Linked DNA regions of Drosophila melanogaster. Changing the gene in region 1 together with any one later gene gives a genetic interaction. Each region holds a gene or a part of one and is shown on either strand. Other genes may lie near its edges.

The links.
Region 2: of prd (region 1) and Myc, changing one suppresses a phenotype caused by changing the other (phenotypic suppression), as found in Drosophila melanogaster (2 studies listed by BioGRID).
Region 3: of prd (region 1) and CycE, changing one suppresses a phenotype caused by changing the other (phenotypic suppression), as found in Drosophila melanogaster (2 studies listed by BioGRID).

Annotation. Positions count from the first base shown.
Region 1 is NT_033779.5:12,082,463-12,087,951, reverse strand, and holds prd (paired), read left to right. Parts: upstream 1-2,124; 5' UTR 2,125-2,422; coding exon 2,423-2,489; intron 2,490-2,573; exon of another isoform or gene 2,574-2,809; intron 2,810-2,863; coding exon 2,864-4,638; 3' UTR 4,639-4,957; downstream 4,958-5,489. UniProt on the Drosophila melanogaster protein: Pair-rule protein expressed in a segmentally repeating pattern to define the polarity of embryonic segments. Capable of sequence-specific DNA-binding.
Region 2 is NC_004354.4:3,370,923-3,376,163, reverse strand, and holds the start of Myc (Myc), read right to left. Parts: upstream 3,006-5,241; 5' UTR 2,441-3,005; intron 1,225-2,440; exon of another isoform or gene 1,221-1,224; 5' UTR 1,159-1,220; coding exon 1-1,158. UniProt on the Drosophila melanogaster protein: Participates in the regulation of gene transcription. Binds DNA in a non-specific manner, yet also specifically recognizes the core sequence CAC[GA]TG. Seems to activate the transcription of growth-related genes; required for cellular proliferation and growth.
Region 3 is NT_033779.5:15,743,356-15,748,398, forward strand, and holds the start of CycE (cyclin E), read right to left. Parts: upstream 3,256-5,043; 5' UTR 3,129-3,255; coding exon 3,100-3,128; exon of another isoform or gene 2,902-3,099; intron 2,289-2,901; exon of another isoform or gene 2,037-2,288; intron 1-2,036. UniProt on the Drosophila melanogaster protein: Essential for the control of the cell cycle at the G1/S (start) transition. Targeted by archipelago for degradation by the SFC ubiquitin ligase complex.

The DNA.
Region 1 (5,489 bases):
TTGATCGTATAAATCGCACAATGTGTGCATTGTTTTCATCGATTATATAGCTATTTGTGTGCATCGATTGAGCGCACGAGCCTCTCGAGGCAGTTCCTCCAAATCGGATGAGATTCGAGTCTTGGAGATGTGTAGTAGGGTCGCAGGTAAACGAAGCATTCGCTGGCGAAAGTTGAGGATCGCGAGGTGGATTTTCATTCATAGCACCCTGGGTGGCATCATAAAAAGTCTCTTAGCATCCTTATTCATTGCACGGATGTGTCTTCATTTTCCCGCTGGCCGATTCGTGGAAATGCGAGCGAAGCTGACTTGCAGCGTTTATGGCACCGATGCCTCCTACTGCTTCCTGCATTTCGGCCAGGATTCAGGACCTTTCTCTACCCAAAGTGACGATCCCATAGCAGAATCGCCTTTTTCCAAGCGTTGATAGCGCGAAATTAGCGTTATATGAGTTGCCTATTCAGCGCTCATTGTCCTGCCAAATTGTGAAATCAACGAGGATCAAATCGAATGGTGGGTATCGATGGTGGATTGAGGCGCCTCTCCATTTGATTCGAGTTACATATGTTTGAGGATAATTTAATTATCACAGAATACTTGCTAGTCTGCCATCGTGGCCATGGGCTCAAGGTCATCGGGGATTTTTGCTATCCTGCCAGGCGCAAATGTAGCGATTCCATACTGGGTGCCTGGTACTGCGAACTCCTCCCGTTGGGTTTGCTTAACCAAACGCCCAACGGGCAGCCGCACCGAGCAGTAGAAACCCAACCTTTGTTGCCTTGCGGCCTCCGTTGTCCTTGATCTGCATCTCATCTGGATCTTGCACTCCGGCACTTGGATACGGATCCTGCCGAGGAGCATGCACATTCGTCACATCTCTGTGGGTCAATTTCCTCGCTGGCGTTTCAAACGGAGGTTGGGGTCCATCATTAATTCTTGCAACACTTGGCGCTCTCTATTGTTCGCGGCTTTCAGGTTTTTGTTGTTATCCCACTCGGCGCTTTCTTTTCTTTTCCATCGGTTTTGTTTAACTTCTTTTCGAGGGTCTCTGTTGCGTGAAATTCTACAATTAATCAAACCCACGACGGCCCATAGAAAAGGGTCGAAACTATGGTTATAAGCCGGAGGCAGCGGAGCATAATGGTGGCAAAAGCATGACAAGGATGTGGATGCGGTCATGGTAAGGATATGGATGAAGTCACTTTGTTAAATGTTAAATTGGAAAGTTGGAAACATAAACTGATCAATAGTCGCTGATTTTGTATTCAACTGAATATGTTTCCCTGCATCCAATATGGTGTTATATATTTAATATCTCACTTATTTTGTTTGAAAATAATTTACTATGATCTATCAATAGATAGTTCTAAACACACACTTTTATATTTATATGTAATATACTGATAATTAAAATAAAACCTACAATTTGAAATGAAGAACTTTGTTCACCGTTTCCGAAAGCAATAAATAACTGAGAGAAAAGAGGCTACTCGAGTGGCAATATAAACGAAAGCCATAATTAGGTATCAATAAAGGATATATTACGCTTGTAAAGAGTGTTAAACGCGTACTCGATTGCATTATGGGTTCCAGTGAATATCTAATTTGATTTCCGGGGCCAAGTGGAACCCCAAAGAATATCTCAAGTGAAGAGTGAAAAGCAAACGCCAGGCAGACTGATCTCTCAAGTCCAGTATTCCCTTATCCTTATAACAAGGTATCCATAAAGGATATGTAACGCTTAAATTGTATCGTGCTACTTACGGCATTAATTAATTTCCGGAAACCAGTGAAAGTCGAAACTATGCATAGGATTTGAATGGATGGAATGCCCAGGATCTGGAGCAGAAGTATTGTGGTTCCCTTGTACTCGTATACCCCCCAATCCAAAGTTCTCTGCTCTTCTCCCATTCCACGGTGCTTTTCACAGCTGAGACGCCCCCTGGCGGCGAGCGAGACGGTTGCTAAATGGGTCGAGTGAGCCAGAGCGAGATGCCGTTGTGGAGAGCGCTGCGATTGGTCCGCGTAGTGGTTACCTGCCAAGTGACTGTGGGATATGGCCGACGTCTGGGCCGTGGCTTCACAGAAAGGCAACGATCTTGGCCGACGTTCGGATGGTGAAGTCAGTCAGGCACAGACTGCGCAACGAGCCACACCGCATCTCGTCCTCGTTCTCGTCTTCGCCTTCGCCTCCGTTTCATCTTTCCCATCGAGATTGCGAACTAACAGATACTTAGATATTCGAAGTGCAACTAATCGGTTAATCAATACCTCGCAACGCTTACTTATGACTTTGACAAAGTGTCCAGACATTGTCCAGAACTAAAGTGATATAATCAAGTGATATACGAACTTCGAGACTGAGTTAACACCGGTTTTGTGCCGGGACAAGCTTACGCATCTTGGAGCTCCTCCAGAAACTATGACCGTAACCGCCTTTGCTGCCGCAATGCACAGACCCTTCTTCAATGGATATTCTACCATGCAAGGTGAGTGTCTATCGCTTATATACAACATCCAGCAAAAGTCACTTTGGAATATAAGTCACTTTCACAATGTACTTACTAAATATCAAAGCCTAGTTGATCATTTCCATATATCTTCATTTCTAAACCGACGGCTCAAGATCCCGCTAAAGATCTCAGTTTGGGCCAAGGCCGTCGGCTACTCTCTAATGGCCATTAGTTGCCCGGCGGGAGAGTCGCGCGCCTCTGACCTTCGACCTTAGCTCCGAGTTTCCCGTCTTCCCGGGAAGTCAACTCCGGTCGAAGGTGTCGTAAATCAAGTGACACGCGCTCCGCTCTACCTAGCTAGTATTGGAAAAGCCTCTAAAATTTCCATTTTCTCATCTTCCTCATTCCAGACATGAACAGCGGCCAGGGGCGCGTCAATCAACTAGGTGGAGTTTTCATCAACGGTCGTCCTTTGCCCAACAATATTCGTCTTAAAATCGTCGAGATGGCCGCCGATGGCATTCGGCCCTGTGTGATCTCCAGACAGCTACGTGTGTCCCATGGCTGCGTATCGAAGATCCTGAATCGCTACCAGGAGACTGGCTCCATTAGACCAGGCGTAATTGGTGGCTCCAAGCCGAGGATAGCCACGCCCGAAATCGAGAACCGAATTGAGGAGTACAAGCGCAGTAGCCCGGGCATGTTCTCGTGGGAGATCAGGGAGAAGCTGATCCGCGAGGGTGTCTGCGACAGGAGCACAGCACCATCTGTGTCCGCCATATCGCGCCTGGTGCGCGGCCGAGATGCTCCATTGGACAATGATATGTCTTCTGCCTCTGGATCTCCGGCGGGTGATGGCACCAAAGCATCGAGTTCCTGCGGCTCCGATGTCTCAGGTGGCCATCACAACAACGGCAAGCCCTCCGATGAGGACATCTCTGACTGTGAAAGTGAGCCGGGAATCGCCTTGAAGCGCAAACAGCGCCGCTGCAGGACCACCTTTTCCGCTTCCCAGTTGGACGAACTGGAACGCGCCTTCGAGCGCACCCAATACCCTGATATCTACACCCGTGAGGAGCTGGCCCAGCGCACCAATCTCACGGAGGCACGCATTCAGGTGTGGTTCAGCAATCGGCGTGCTCGTCTCCGCAAGCAGCACACCTCGGTCTCGGGCGGAGCACCTGGCGGAGCAGCTGCCTCAGTGAGCCATGTCGCCGCGTCCAGCTCTTTGCCCAGTGTGGTATCAAGTGTGCCCAGCATGGCTCCGCTGGCCATGATGCCGGGATCCCTGGATCCAGCCACTGTGTACCAGCAGCAATACGATTTCTACGGCAGTCACGCCAACATTTCCGTATCCGCCGCAGCTCCAATGGCCAGTAGTAATCTATCGCCCGGAATTACAACCACGCCACCGCACCACCATCAGTTCTACAATCCCAGCGCTAACACAGCCAGCTACATAATGCCGGGTGAGAATGGCAACACCACACCCACCGGGAACATCATCGTCTCCAGCTATGAGACTCAGTTGGGTTCAGTTTACGGCACCGAAACGGAAACCCACCAGACTATGCCACGCAACGAGAGCCCCAACGAGTCCGTGTCCTCCGCCTTCGGGCAACTGCCACCCACACCCAACAGCCTTTCCGCGGTGGTGAGTGGAGCTGGTGTGACCTCCTCCAGTGGGGCCAACTCGGGAGCCGATCCCTCGCAGTCGCTGGCCAATGCCAGTGCTGGAAGTGAGGAGCTATCGGCTGCCCTGAAAGTGGAATCGGTGGACCTGATCGCGGCCAGTCAGTCGCAGTTGTACGGCGGATGGAGCTCCATGCAGGCACTGCGCCCCAATGCGCCACTTTCGCCGGAGGACTCGCTGAACTCCACCAGCTCGACCAGCCAGGCTCTGGATGTCACCGCCCACCAGATGTTCCATCCGTATCAGCATACGCCGCAGTATGCATCCTATCCGGCACCAGGCCACGCCCATTCGCATCACGGACATCCCCATGCGCCGCATCCGCACGCACATCCGCATCCGCAGTACGCAGGCGCACATCCGCACTATCCGCCGCCCAGTTCGTCGGCGCACTTCATGCCCCAGAACTTCAATGCCGCCGCCTTTCCTTCGCCCTCGAAGGTCAACTACACAACGATGCCGCCACAGCCGTTCTATCCCTCATGGTACTAGAATCAAAGGGACACGGATCCACCACCTACTCCTCCAGGAGCAGGAGCAGGTGTCACCAGATCCATGGTACAAGTCGCCAAAGATGTACATACCCATAGAGCAGGGGACGAAAATATAAATAACATTTTATTTGTGGTGGAGCAGTACAGACATTTTCCGTTTGGGAAAACCGCTGACAGACTCGCTCCTAAACAATAAACATATGTATTAGTTCCAATTCGTAGATGTAAGCCTAGAAAATAGTACCGACTTAGGATTAGAGTTTAAGATGATTAGCCTAAGTAGCAAGTGCTCTTAAATAAAAAAATATATCTATGCTAATTTACAACGTACTCCAATGATCTTTCACTCGAAACGCTGGCCATTCAGCAGCCTTGACACGCTTCCGTACGCAGCGGGAAATGGGAAATCCTCTGGGCCATTAGAGCCTTTTAGTAGCTGCGCATTCCACGGACCTGGCTGGAGATCTCAACACTCGCCCCGGGTGAGATACCGATTCCGATTGCTGCTCTCGGAACTTCAGATCCAGCTGTGAGCGGGTCGCATAGTTTCCGGAAAAAAAGAAGAGAAAACTCCCGAAATGCAAGATGATGATTTGGAACGTCCAAAATAGCGAAGACAACTCCAACCAAGGTGTTAATTGCCCCCTCGATTCCATCGAATAGAGAGTGTTGGTCCCTATGGGACTACGAAGTAAATGGAGTAATTGCCCTCGTTCGGACTTACCTCAAATTCACACCTCATCCTCGGGGATCTGCCTACCCAACCATATTCTACGTGTCCGAGCGATGGCAATTAATGAAGTCATTATCCTTGAATCCTCACCTCCAGACAGCTCAGACAGCCTAACG
Region 2 (5,241 bases), on another chromosome or scaffold:
GGTGATGTGCATCATGTGCAGCATGCCGTTGCTGTTGTTCTTCAATTTGTTGTTTTTGTTGTTGCTGTTGTTGTTGTTGGTGGTGATGCTGGCATTGCTGCCGCTTTTGCTAGTGCGATGATGGCGCAGGTCAAAGTTGAGGGGTTCACCGTCATCGGAGTCACTATCAGAGCCGGTCGTCGGCGGAGAATCCACTGTGTTGCGTCCAGTGGCTATATCGATGGCCTGTTGTTGCTCGTCCAGTTGCTGTTGGTTCAACTGCTGTTGGCCACCCGTCGAATTGGAATGCTGGTTGAGCACATCGAGGACATCGTTGATCGGCGGGATGTAACGCACCGGCAACGGATCCTTGCCGGTATTCTGAAGCTCCCTGCTGATTTGCTTAATGTAGTTGACATCGCTATCATTGCCGGTCAGCGAGATATTATTGCTGCCCATCACGCAGGCACGCAAGTCGACGTTATGTCTAAACTCTGAGGCGGCCACCTCGTCGGTAAGACTGTGAGGTGTGTCTGGTCTCTGGTATTTTATGCTATCGCTGCCGCTCAATTCGCCCGATTTGCGGATAATGTCCTGGTTGTTCCGCTTGCGGAGCAAACTTCCGCCGGGCGGTATTAAATGGACCTCGTCCTGGATCTGTGACTTCTTGTCACCGCCGCTCAAACGGAGGCGCTTCTGACAGACCGTGTAGTCCAGATCTGCGAGCTCCTTCTTGATGATCACCGGCATGTTCTCGGCACTGTTGACGACATGCTGTTGATTTGACTGGGTGTTATCTGTCGTCTGCGATCGTTGATACGCGCTGTAGAGATTCGTAGAGCCGGAAACCATCGCCAGGGATACGGCACCGGTTTCGCTGTACGACGAGGCTGCACTGTTTCCGCTCTCTATTCCATTACCGTTACCGCTGGTCAAACAGCTGGACATCGCCGGCCACATGCAGTCGATGTTGCGGATCTCTGGCTTCATATCCTCCTCTAAGTCATAGTCTTGAAATACACTTTCCATGTCCTCGATCTTCTCGAGATCACTCTGAATGGTGGACGACGAAAGGAGTTTGTCCATATCGTACAGATCATTATCCATATCGAATATTGAAATATTTGAAAAAAGTTGGTCGTCCATTATGGAATACGGATCAGAGCGGTAAAGGGCCATTGCGATTATGTTGTCTGGGTTTTTTTTTCTTTCTATATATCTTAAGTTCCTGAGTTATATGCCTGTCTGAAAAATATAGATAAGGCGGAAATCGTTGTAGGTATGATTCTATATTTGAACTTAATTAAATAAATATGTCGGCAACACACTTTTTGAAAACTTCTTCAACATAAGGATTTTTGCAACATTTCAACTATAATGTAAGAGTAACTAAACTCCTAATATTATTATTGTATTAAGTCACGTTCTACTGTGCCAGATTTCACCTATAATGACGTCAGGCGATGTCGAGGGTTCAGCAAATGTTATCAAAAGCAAATTTAGCTTATAGCTTCATTTATACACTATTAACCATTTGAACCCGAAATCGTCAATCTTGGCGCTCTTGACAATAGCAAAAAAAAAAAAAAAATACATATACTAATGAAATAAACAAGGGCATAAAAGGAAAACCAAATATCAAATACCCAATTCCAGTTACTGAAAAATAAACGGTCCTTTTACCGATAAACGCAGACCTGCAAAGCTTACTGTGCTTTTCCCTTTTCGTAGAATCCGTTGCATTCCGGTAAACAAGTACGAGCAAAAACTAACAGTACATGTCTTTCGCAGAATCGAACGCAACCCGGTATATATTGAATTTCAGAATCATAGTAAAATTGGAATATCAACATTTATTAAATTATTATTTAAATCTTTTTAAATTTATTAAGCTAATTTATTTCTTTTTTAATTTATCAAGCTAATTTATTTCTTTTTTAATTTATCAAGCTAATTTATTTCTTTTTTTAATTAATTGATTTATTTCTCCTTTAAAAAGTTTAATACTTTCGTAAAAATTTTGGGACCATTTTATTTAATTACTTTGGAGCCCCAGAGTTCTGGAATTTTCGAACATTACCAACTCGTTTCAACGCCATCAAAGCGTTTTTAATACTTGCCAGCATTAAGAAGAATTTCACAAAACAATAAAGAACTTTGTAGAATTTTGTTTTGCAAAATTCGTCCACTTCCACTTTTCTATTGTCTCACTTTTTGTTCTTAATTTCTTGTAAGCACTTGATTCTTAACATTCCTTCTGAGTTCCTAGAATCCGTTATTTCGTATCGATTTGTGCGGCCATGATCACTGATTTGTCATTGTGTGTGAGAGCACCGTTAAAAGTTAAGCTATTTCACCTTTCCCAGAAATTCTATTTTGAATTCCCCGTAGTGGCGCGATTTTTGAAGTCGTTGCGTTCCGATAAATAATATATATTATATATATATATCTTTGCACTCACCTCGCTGAACATAGTTTCCGTATCCGTCTCTATTTAATTGATTGTAATCCAATTTAGTTAGCTTCCTTTGCTTTCCAGTCGCTTTCGGCTATATCTATTTCTATCCCGTTCCCGTGCCGCCAGCAAGTTGGGCACTTTTTTTTTTGCGTCAAAGAAGGGGAAAGACGGAGAAAAAACACCAAAAAAAGGGACACAAAAAAAAATTCTTCCCGTTTATTTTGCACTAGCTGATTTTTTTTAAAAAATCTTTTTTTAATTCTAGTTTTTCACAAGTTTTTGTTTCTGCTTTGGAGAAGATTTTTTTTTATGTATTTGCGCGGTTTTAAGTCGGCTCTTAGGTTATTTCTGGGATTTAGCACTTTTGTAACTTGGCTGTGACAGTTGTTAGTAGTAGTTGTATATTTTAAAACGTGTTGCTTCAGGTTTTACTACAGAACTATTTATATAGCGTTTGGTTTTTTTTTTTTGTATCGGGCGGAAAACAGGCAAAAATCCAATCCACAAAGCGATTCTCTGAATTACCCGCGGTGAACTGAACACGCGACGCCACAGAAATAGTGCCCGTTTCATGTTGTCTGTGGCTTAAATAAAATTTCTATCGTACCAGACTGCCGCGCTCTCTGCGCTCTCACTGCGCATGCTCACTGCTGCTCTCTTTGCTGGAATTCGCTTTAAGTGGTGAGAATAGGAGCTTCAACAAAAATCTTCTTTGACATTTGGATCACATTTAGATCACATTTGGATTCATCACGATTTGTTAATACTCGAAGGTTTTCAAATAGTACGCAATGCATTTAAAATGATCAATGTTTCTTTGCCTCTCCCGCACACTGGTTCACATAACAGCATCAGTTTGCCGGTATTTTTTTTTTGAGTGAAAGAGAGTGAGATTTTTGAGTGGTGTTTACAATAATTGAGCGCAAACAAAATTGAGACAAATCGCAAATTGCTCCGTAAATAAAAACATAAACAATTAACTTGAACTGGCTCAAAATGTTTTTGTGAAATAAATGCAATACGAAAATGTGTAGTTGACTGGAAATCAAAACAAAATTTTATTCATTTCCTTAATTTACTTACGGTATGTATATTAAAATATAGAAATTAAATTTATAAATATACGCATTTATTTATGTTAATGTTAATCGACATAAAACTACAGGTTTCAATTGCTTTTCTGTGGCATTATTTGGGATTCTTCATTGCCGCATAAATGTTTCCTATTTTTAAATCGATTTATTTTAAGCTCTATTCCTTTTTGCGTAGAAGTTGCGAGAAGTTGTTCATTCCCTCTTGCTTTGGCGCCTTACATTTCTTTCGTATTTCCTTCTTGCCCTTTCCTTTATCTATGCATGCATTTACCGTACTTTTTTTTATGTGCGTGTGTGCCTTTGTCACCTCTTTGTCTGCCACGCAACTTCATTTTCCGTTTTGTCAAGTTGATTGAACTTGTGAACTTTGTAAACAATGCAGAATTCATTTAACAATAATAGAAAAGTTAGGCCGCATGGTAGAAACAAAAGAAGAGCCAAACATTTTGTTAACGAATTAAACGATGCCAAGGAAATGTAAAAAGAAAGGGAAAAGAATAGAAACCAGCCAAAAATATTACAACTTTGGAAAGAAGAAGTTGTGGAAGAAGTAGAAAAGGGTAATAAGGTAAAGGCGGATAGGAAGCAAGGGGACCTTGAATGAAAAATAGAATATAACATGCACAAGCATACGTCTCTACATACATACATACATATGTATGTATGCACATTCCAACAAACTTCTTAATAACTGTTTGTAAAATACAATGTACATAGTATGTGTACTACATACAAATAATGATTTGTGCATGTGTACATATGTTTATCGCACAAATATGTACATATGTACACATATATCAACCTTTAAAAATCGACTTGAAAGGACCTGCATTTTGAATTTTGCCCCTTTTAGAGAGTATTAAATCATCAGGTGGTTCCGACGCAAAGTTCCTCCCGCTTTCTACACCCCGTCGATTTTGTTACGTTTCGCTTTGATTTTCATTTCCACAACTTTTAGTGCACAACATAGCGCTTTTGGCGCGTGCATCTGCCCTCTCTTTCACACGCTTTGTTTTGATTTCGCAACGAGGCGAACCAGCAAAAAAAAAATGCACGCTGCACACTCGCCCAACTACTCTGCAATTTGCACATTTAATTAATTGTTTGTACAAGCGACATATTAAAAAAAAAAAAAAATTGTTTAATTCTTCTGTCAATGGAAATCACAAACAGCCCAATAAAATTCACCTTCCAACATTCCGCTTTAGTATCCATAAGCATACAAACAGCCATTCGTTGGCAAAAAGCGATATGCTCCACTTTTACAGGGTACAACTGCGTCACAGACAAAAAGAAATGGTCCCGCAATTTGCGAGCTTTTGTCCGTCCAAGTTCTCGATTTCAATAAGTAATATTTCTTGTGTTTCGATGTTTGCGCAATTTATGTTTGCGTGTGCTGCTTGTTTTTGTAATAGTATTAAACTATTTTCTGCACTTTTTTTTTGTTTCGCGGGTAAATGGAAAGTGTGCATGGCGAGATAAAACAACTGCGTAAATAACGGCAGCAAGTGGCTGCCGAGTTTCCATATCTAGTTTGTCAAGAATTTGCAAGCTTTCAAAAAATTGGCCGTAAAAATGCAATGCATTGGCAGTAAATCGAATAAACCGGCAGTTATGGGAAACATCGAAAATATAGAAAGAATGGAGCAACTCAGGAAAGTGAAATGTAAGTACATAAATATACATATGTACATACATACATATTAGCAT
Region 3 (5,043 bases), 3.7 Mb from region 1:
GTCTTCAACTGTCTGGGCCTGCAATTTTTGTGCGTCCTTTTTGGGCTGCATTTTGGGCTCCTCTGCACATGCGGCGAGATACATTCCTGAGATACTCGAGATAAAAATGCACATGCATCTGGGCATTTGTGGCGTTGTCCATGCCAATGCCGCCTCCTCTCCATTGTTGTGGTTTGGCCACCACTCTTGCAATTAGTTGGAACTCGGTGGACCGAAAGTCTGCAGGAGTTGTGTAACAACATAGCTACATAATGCTGATAGGGTAAGAGGGTGAAGTTCATTAGGAAGATATTTTCTCAAATCGAAAGCCTAATCATATTTGCATAATATGAAACTATAAATAATACTACTAAAAGTTTAAACCAATACACGAAGATTGCTTTATAAGCATCATTGAATTGAACCCGATCTTTGATGCTTCCTTTTCATACTCATGAATGCGTTTAAATTCTAATGGTCAATTGGCCCAAGTTTGCTGTGTTGCTTCAGTCGCATATGCCCACCCTACCCAGAACTACAGGGTACTGCAAACGAGAACAGGAAAGTCGATCCTCGCCTGCGCGCATCAGTGTATCTGTGAGTCCGAGTATCTGAGTATCTGTGTGCCGGGTATCTAAAGAGCGCCGCCTGGGCAAAACGGCGTGTGAAAGTAAAGTCGGCCCAGCCGATGGAGGAGAACAAATCAAAGTTCTTGAATGGAGCGGCAGCGGCGGCGATGGCGACGGCGGCGTTCCAGTTCCAAGAATCGATGGCCTTGAAGTAGCCGTTAGGACATCGGGACGCGCTCAATTGACTATTTAGTTTATATTTAGCAGCGTCTAAAAGGATGCCCACAGCGAGTCAGCTAGCTCAAGTGGCCTGCGTCCTGTCTCTTCCCCGCTCCACAAATCGCCAGTCGGACGGACTATCCTTTGTTTGTCTGGGAATAACTGGAAACTGTTTATCATTGTTGTTTCTGCTCCTCATACATACGGCTTCACCTCATTCCGATTCCGAATCGGATTCTTCTGCCGCAGCGACAAAAATGTGTATGGACTATAAAAAAAAAATGCCCACATATACATACATATGTACATATGAACCATTTATTTAAGGAGTTACTATTCACAACTCATCCTTTTGGAGAACATGTAATATTTGTAAAACATTCCGCACTTGTAATTGAGAAATATTGTTGGTATTTTACTAGGAATTCGGGTTAATATGGCCAGTTGATATGTGTGGATTCCTATAACCATTTACGTATGTATGTACATATGATGAGAAAATATTCGAGATCAGTTTGGGTTCCCATCTCGTCTAGAAAATCCTTTGATGACATACCGCTTTCGAAGGTGGCAAGCACTTGGAGGATCATGAGCAGAATTGAAAGGTGTTGACTAGGATTTGAATAGATCATATAAGGAGTGTTTAGGTGGGTCAAACAAAAGAAAATGTTGGGAAAATATACAAAATTCACGACACTGAATCATCAAAAACTTGATGCTCTTACTTTTTTCAAAATCACTTCTAAGAAAAACAATTTATTTCCCCATGGTTTAAACTGGCCAAATCTAAACATAAGCGGCTGATTTTCGGCACGATCATGACATAATCGAAAAATTAAGTATACAAAAATCCACCCCATCAACAATACACCACCCACCCCCCACGCACACCCCCGCCGCGATCGCTCCAAAAGTTTAACGGCGCAAAAAGCGAACACGCAAACTAAAAAACGTCAAAAGAATGCAAAAAATAAAGAAGAAAGCAAAAATTGCGAAGAAAACAACAACAAAATGAATGTGGCAGGTAAATGGAAGCAGAGGAGAAGAGGAAAGAACGAAGATGGCGCGAAGCAAGGTGGAGACGAAGGGGAAGCGAAAGCAAAACGCCGAGAAATATCAATGAACTCCATTCTCCACTTGGCAGTCTATCTCGCTCACTCATTGGTTGGGAGCACGTACATAGAGTAACTACTCACAAAAATAAATATAACCACGATTTTACAATAATTAAAATACTATTATTAATTCTACATATGTAAACATACATACATATGTATGTACGTAGATTGTGGGTAAGGGCTAAATGCCACTACCAATCTTTTTCTTCGTGTACCAAAGATATTTGCGCCACTTTTGACATAATTCATTATTTTGTTCTTCACTCGTTTACTCCATTTTGCTTTGAACCTCTGCTTCGTGTTCGTCAAGTTTTCGAAAGGTCCGTCGACTGATCGGCGATTTTCCGAATTTTTTCGACGTCGCAGTCAAATGCTCTCTTTTTTTCCGTTTTAGAGCGCAGTACTAAAACGTTTTTGTTTGTTGTTGGTGTTGGGAAGGGGAAAATAACTTGACTCGCTGTTCTGATTGGAATAAAACGGAAGAGAGCGAGAGAAAGAGAGCTTACTCTCTCTCTTAGCGAGCGCATTTCTTCCAAGTTTGTGCTTGTGTGTGTGTCATTGGAGGAAGCGTATAAAAATGAAATGAGCATGGGAAAAGAATGGAGAAACGCAAAGTGGCGCGAATTAGGCGTTTGGGCTGGGGCAGTTTTGTTTTACCGCCCAAAATCTATGCGAATGGCGGGAAAAAGTGCAATTCGGGCGGGAGAAAGATTAGAAAGTTGGCCCAAACAGCAGGGTAAACCATAAGCTGCATCTCAAGCCTTCTATAGTAAGAAAAGCTGTAATAGTTCACTGAACTCCCGTTACGCATTAGAAACTCAGTGCACTTTTAGACGTGATTAGAAGCTTTCATTTATTTCATAGGATTTTCCAATTTGTTCCCATTGGATAACGGTTTAATTCTAATAGGACACTTTTCCTTATAGGGGGAACACTAAAACACTGTGTGGGGGAGACAATTTGTAGTTGGACACCCCGTCTCTTGCCAATCAGAAAGCAACGGTTAAATCCTACAGCGTGTCAATTTTCTTATAAGAGGATGTTGTATTTGTAGCAAAAAATGCAAAGACACGACGGCAAACGCAGCATTCTCTCCCGCTCTTTCCTTCACTGTTCCACACACACTTGTCACCGCACACGCGTCATAAATTTTATTCCACTCTGAATAACGTATTGCCTTTTATCCACTAAAACCATTGTGCAATTGGTTTTACCTTCTAGTAAGCGGAAAAATGCTTAACATAATATCCCCGGTGTTTTCACTTGTTTTTCTTAAAGGGAATTGAACAACGTTTTTCGAGAGTTTTTCGTCGTCGTCGTCGCCGGCCACGAAAAAACTTCACGAGCAGCGGAGCGGCGGCAGCAAAGTGATCGCTTTGGAACCGAAAAAAAAATTGGTGGAACTGGGTATCAAAAGCAGCGACGTCGACTGCGGCGAGTGTGCATGAGGAACGCGCCAAAACAGGCGGATCCGAAGCGCCAAAAAATGCAACAAACACAGGGGGCAACTTTGTTGTACTCTAGGGGAGGGACGGAGATGGGGCGAGCATCTCCAGCGCAAAGAACAGAGCGTGAGAAAGCGAGACGGGGCGATGAAGCCGCTGGTGGCAAGCTTGGCATTTTATTGAATGGAGTCTGCAATTGGAGTCCCCAGTCCCCAACAGGCTAGTCAGACTACAATTGGAGGTTCGACGTCCAGTCAGCTGGGTGGTCGAAAAACAGCTGACGAGGATGCCAGAAGGGCGGATTTAGTCGGATATATCGTGGTTATATATAAATACCTAAGATTTATTTCTATGTCATATGCCAATTTTAATTCAAATATGACCTTCAGAAAATAAATATTTAAATTTTAATATGAAACTATTTTTTTTAATATATTTTTAAAGCGCTCCAAAATCAATTCAAGGTTAAAATAAATTTATCTTGAAGGGTATTCATAAATCTTTAAAATTTTAATTATTTATTTATTCTTCAGAAGCCTGAAATTACATGGTTTAATATGCTTTTCTAGTAGTTTTTATGAACTGCAGCCAAATAACATATGACAAGATGACTGAGGTCGAACTAGGTGGTAACGCTGCTTTGAAACCAAACAAACCACTGCCACTTTGTTGTTTTCATCGATTAACATTCGAGCATTTTTGGCACCAACTTCGAGCGCTTATAAATCAGGTAAGCTAAATGAAAAACCATGCGTGCCTATAACCAATTGAAAGATCAAAACTCGCAGAATCTGATTTTTCACTAAAATCGAAAATCCCGTTCAATTCGGCCAAATTAGAATCGATTGAACTTGATGATTTCCCGCGCGCGGGAACCCGACGTCGGCGCGCGCTGCTGACAGCGATGACAGCTGCGCGCGCAAAGAGAAGGCGCGGAAGAGAGCGCGAGAGGGGCAGGGGAACAGAGAGAGAAAGAGGCAAAAACGTCGACGTCGCTGCTCACGTTTTTTTTCCATTACTTTTCGACTGCTACAATATCGATGGAGAAAACGGGGTCTAAAGGAAATGGCTTAAAAAGCAAGTTCACGAACTTTTGAACCCTGCACCTGCTGCAAATCGAATGGGCCAATTGGCCGGCATCACTCACCTGCTGTTGGGCAGGATTCGGGCAAATTCTCAGCGGGATTGCACACTGAAAAACACACGCGGACTGGAATGGTGATGAAAAAAATTGCACACACCGCCGCACACATACACACGCACGCCAGCCAGCAAGACAGTATAGCCTCCTTTTTGTCACCTTTTTCGACAGATTTATCGTGGTTCTGCGGTCTTTTTCACGGCTAGCTCAACCCCACGGCAGTCAAGGCCAATTCGATGCGATCCCCGCGATTTTTCAGCGACTCCAAAGTAACACAATGATCGCAAGTGGCACTGTGACGAGATCGAAATCGAGAGAGCGATGAAAGAGCAAAAAAAAAGGCCATAATCATCTGGCCACACGGCGCAAAGAGAGAGTCGGAGTTTAGTGGCAGCGGCGTTGCCACTACGGCCGATCGCGTTGCGGGATTTTTATTGGCGCGTTATTCAAATTTTGAAAAATAACTTCTATGTTAGCCTGACTTTTACTGCTCTGCATATTTAGTTCACTATTTTTCCGGGCTGATCATATCTGGAAATCGGGTATTTAAAATAATAAAAGATGTGCAACGT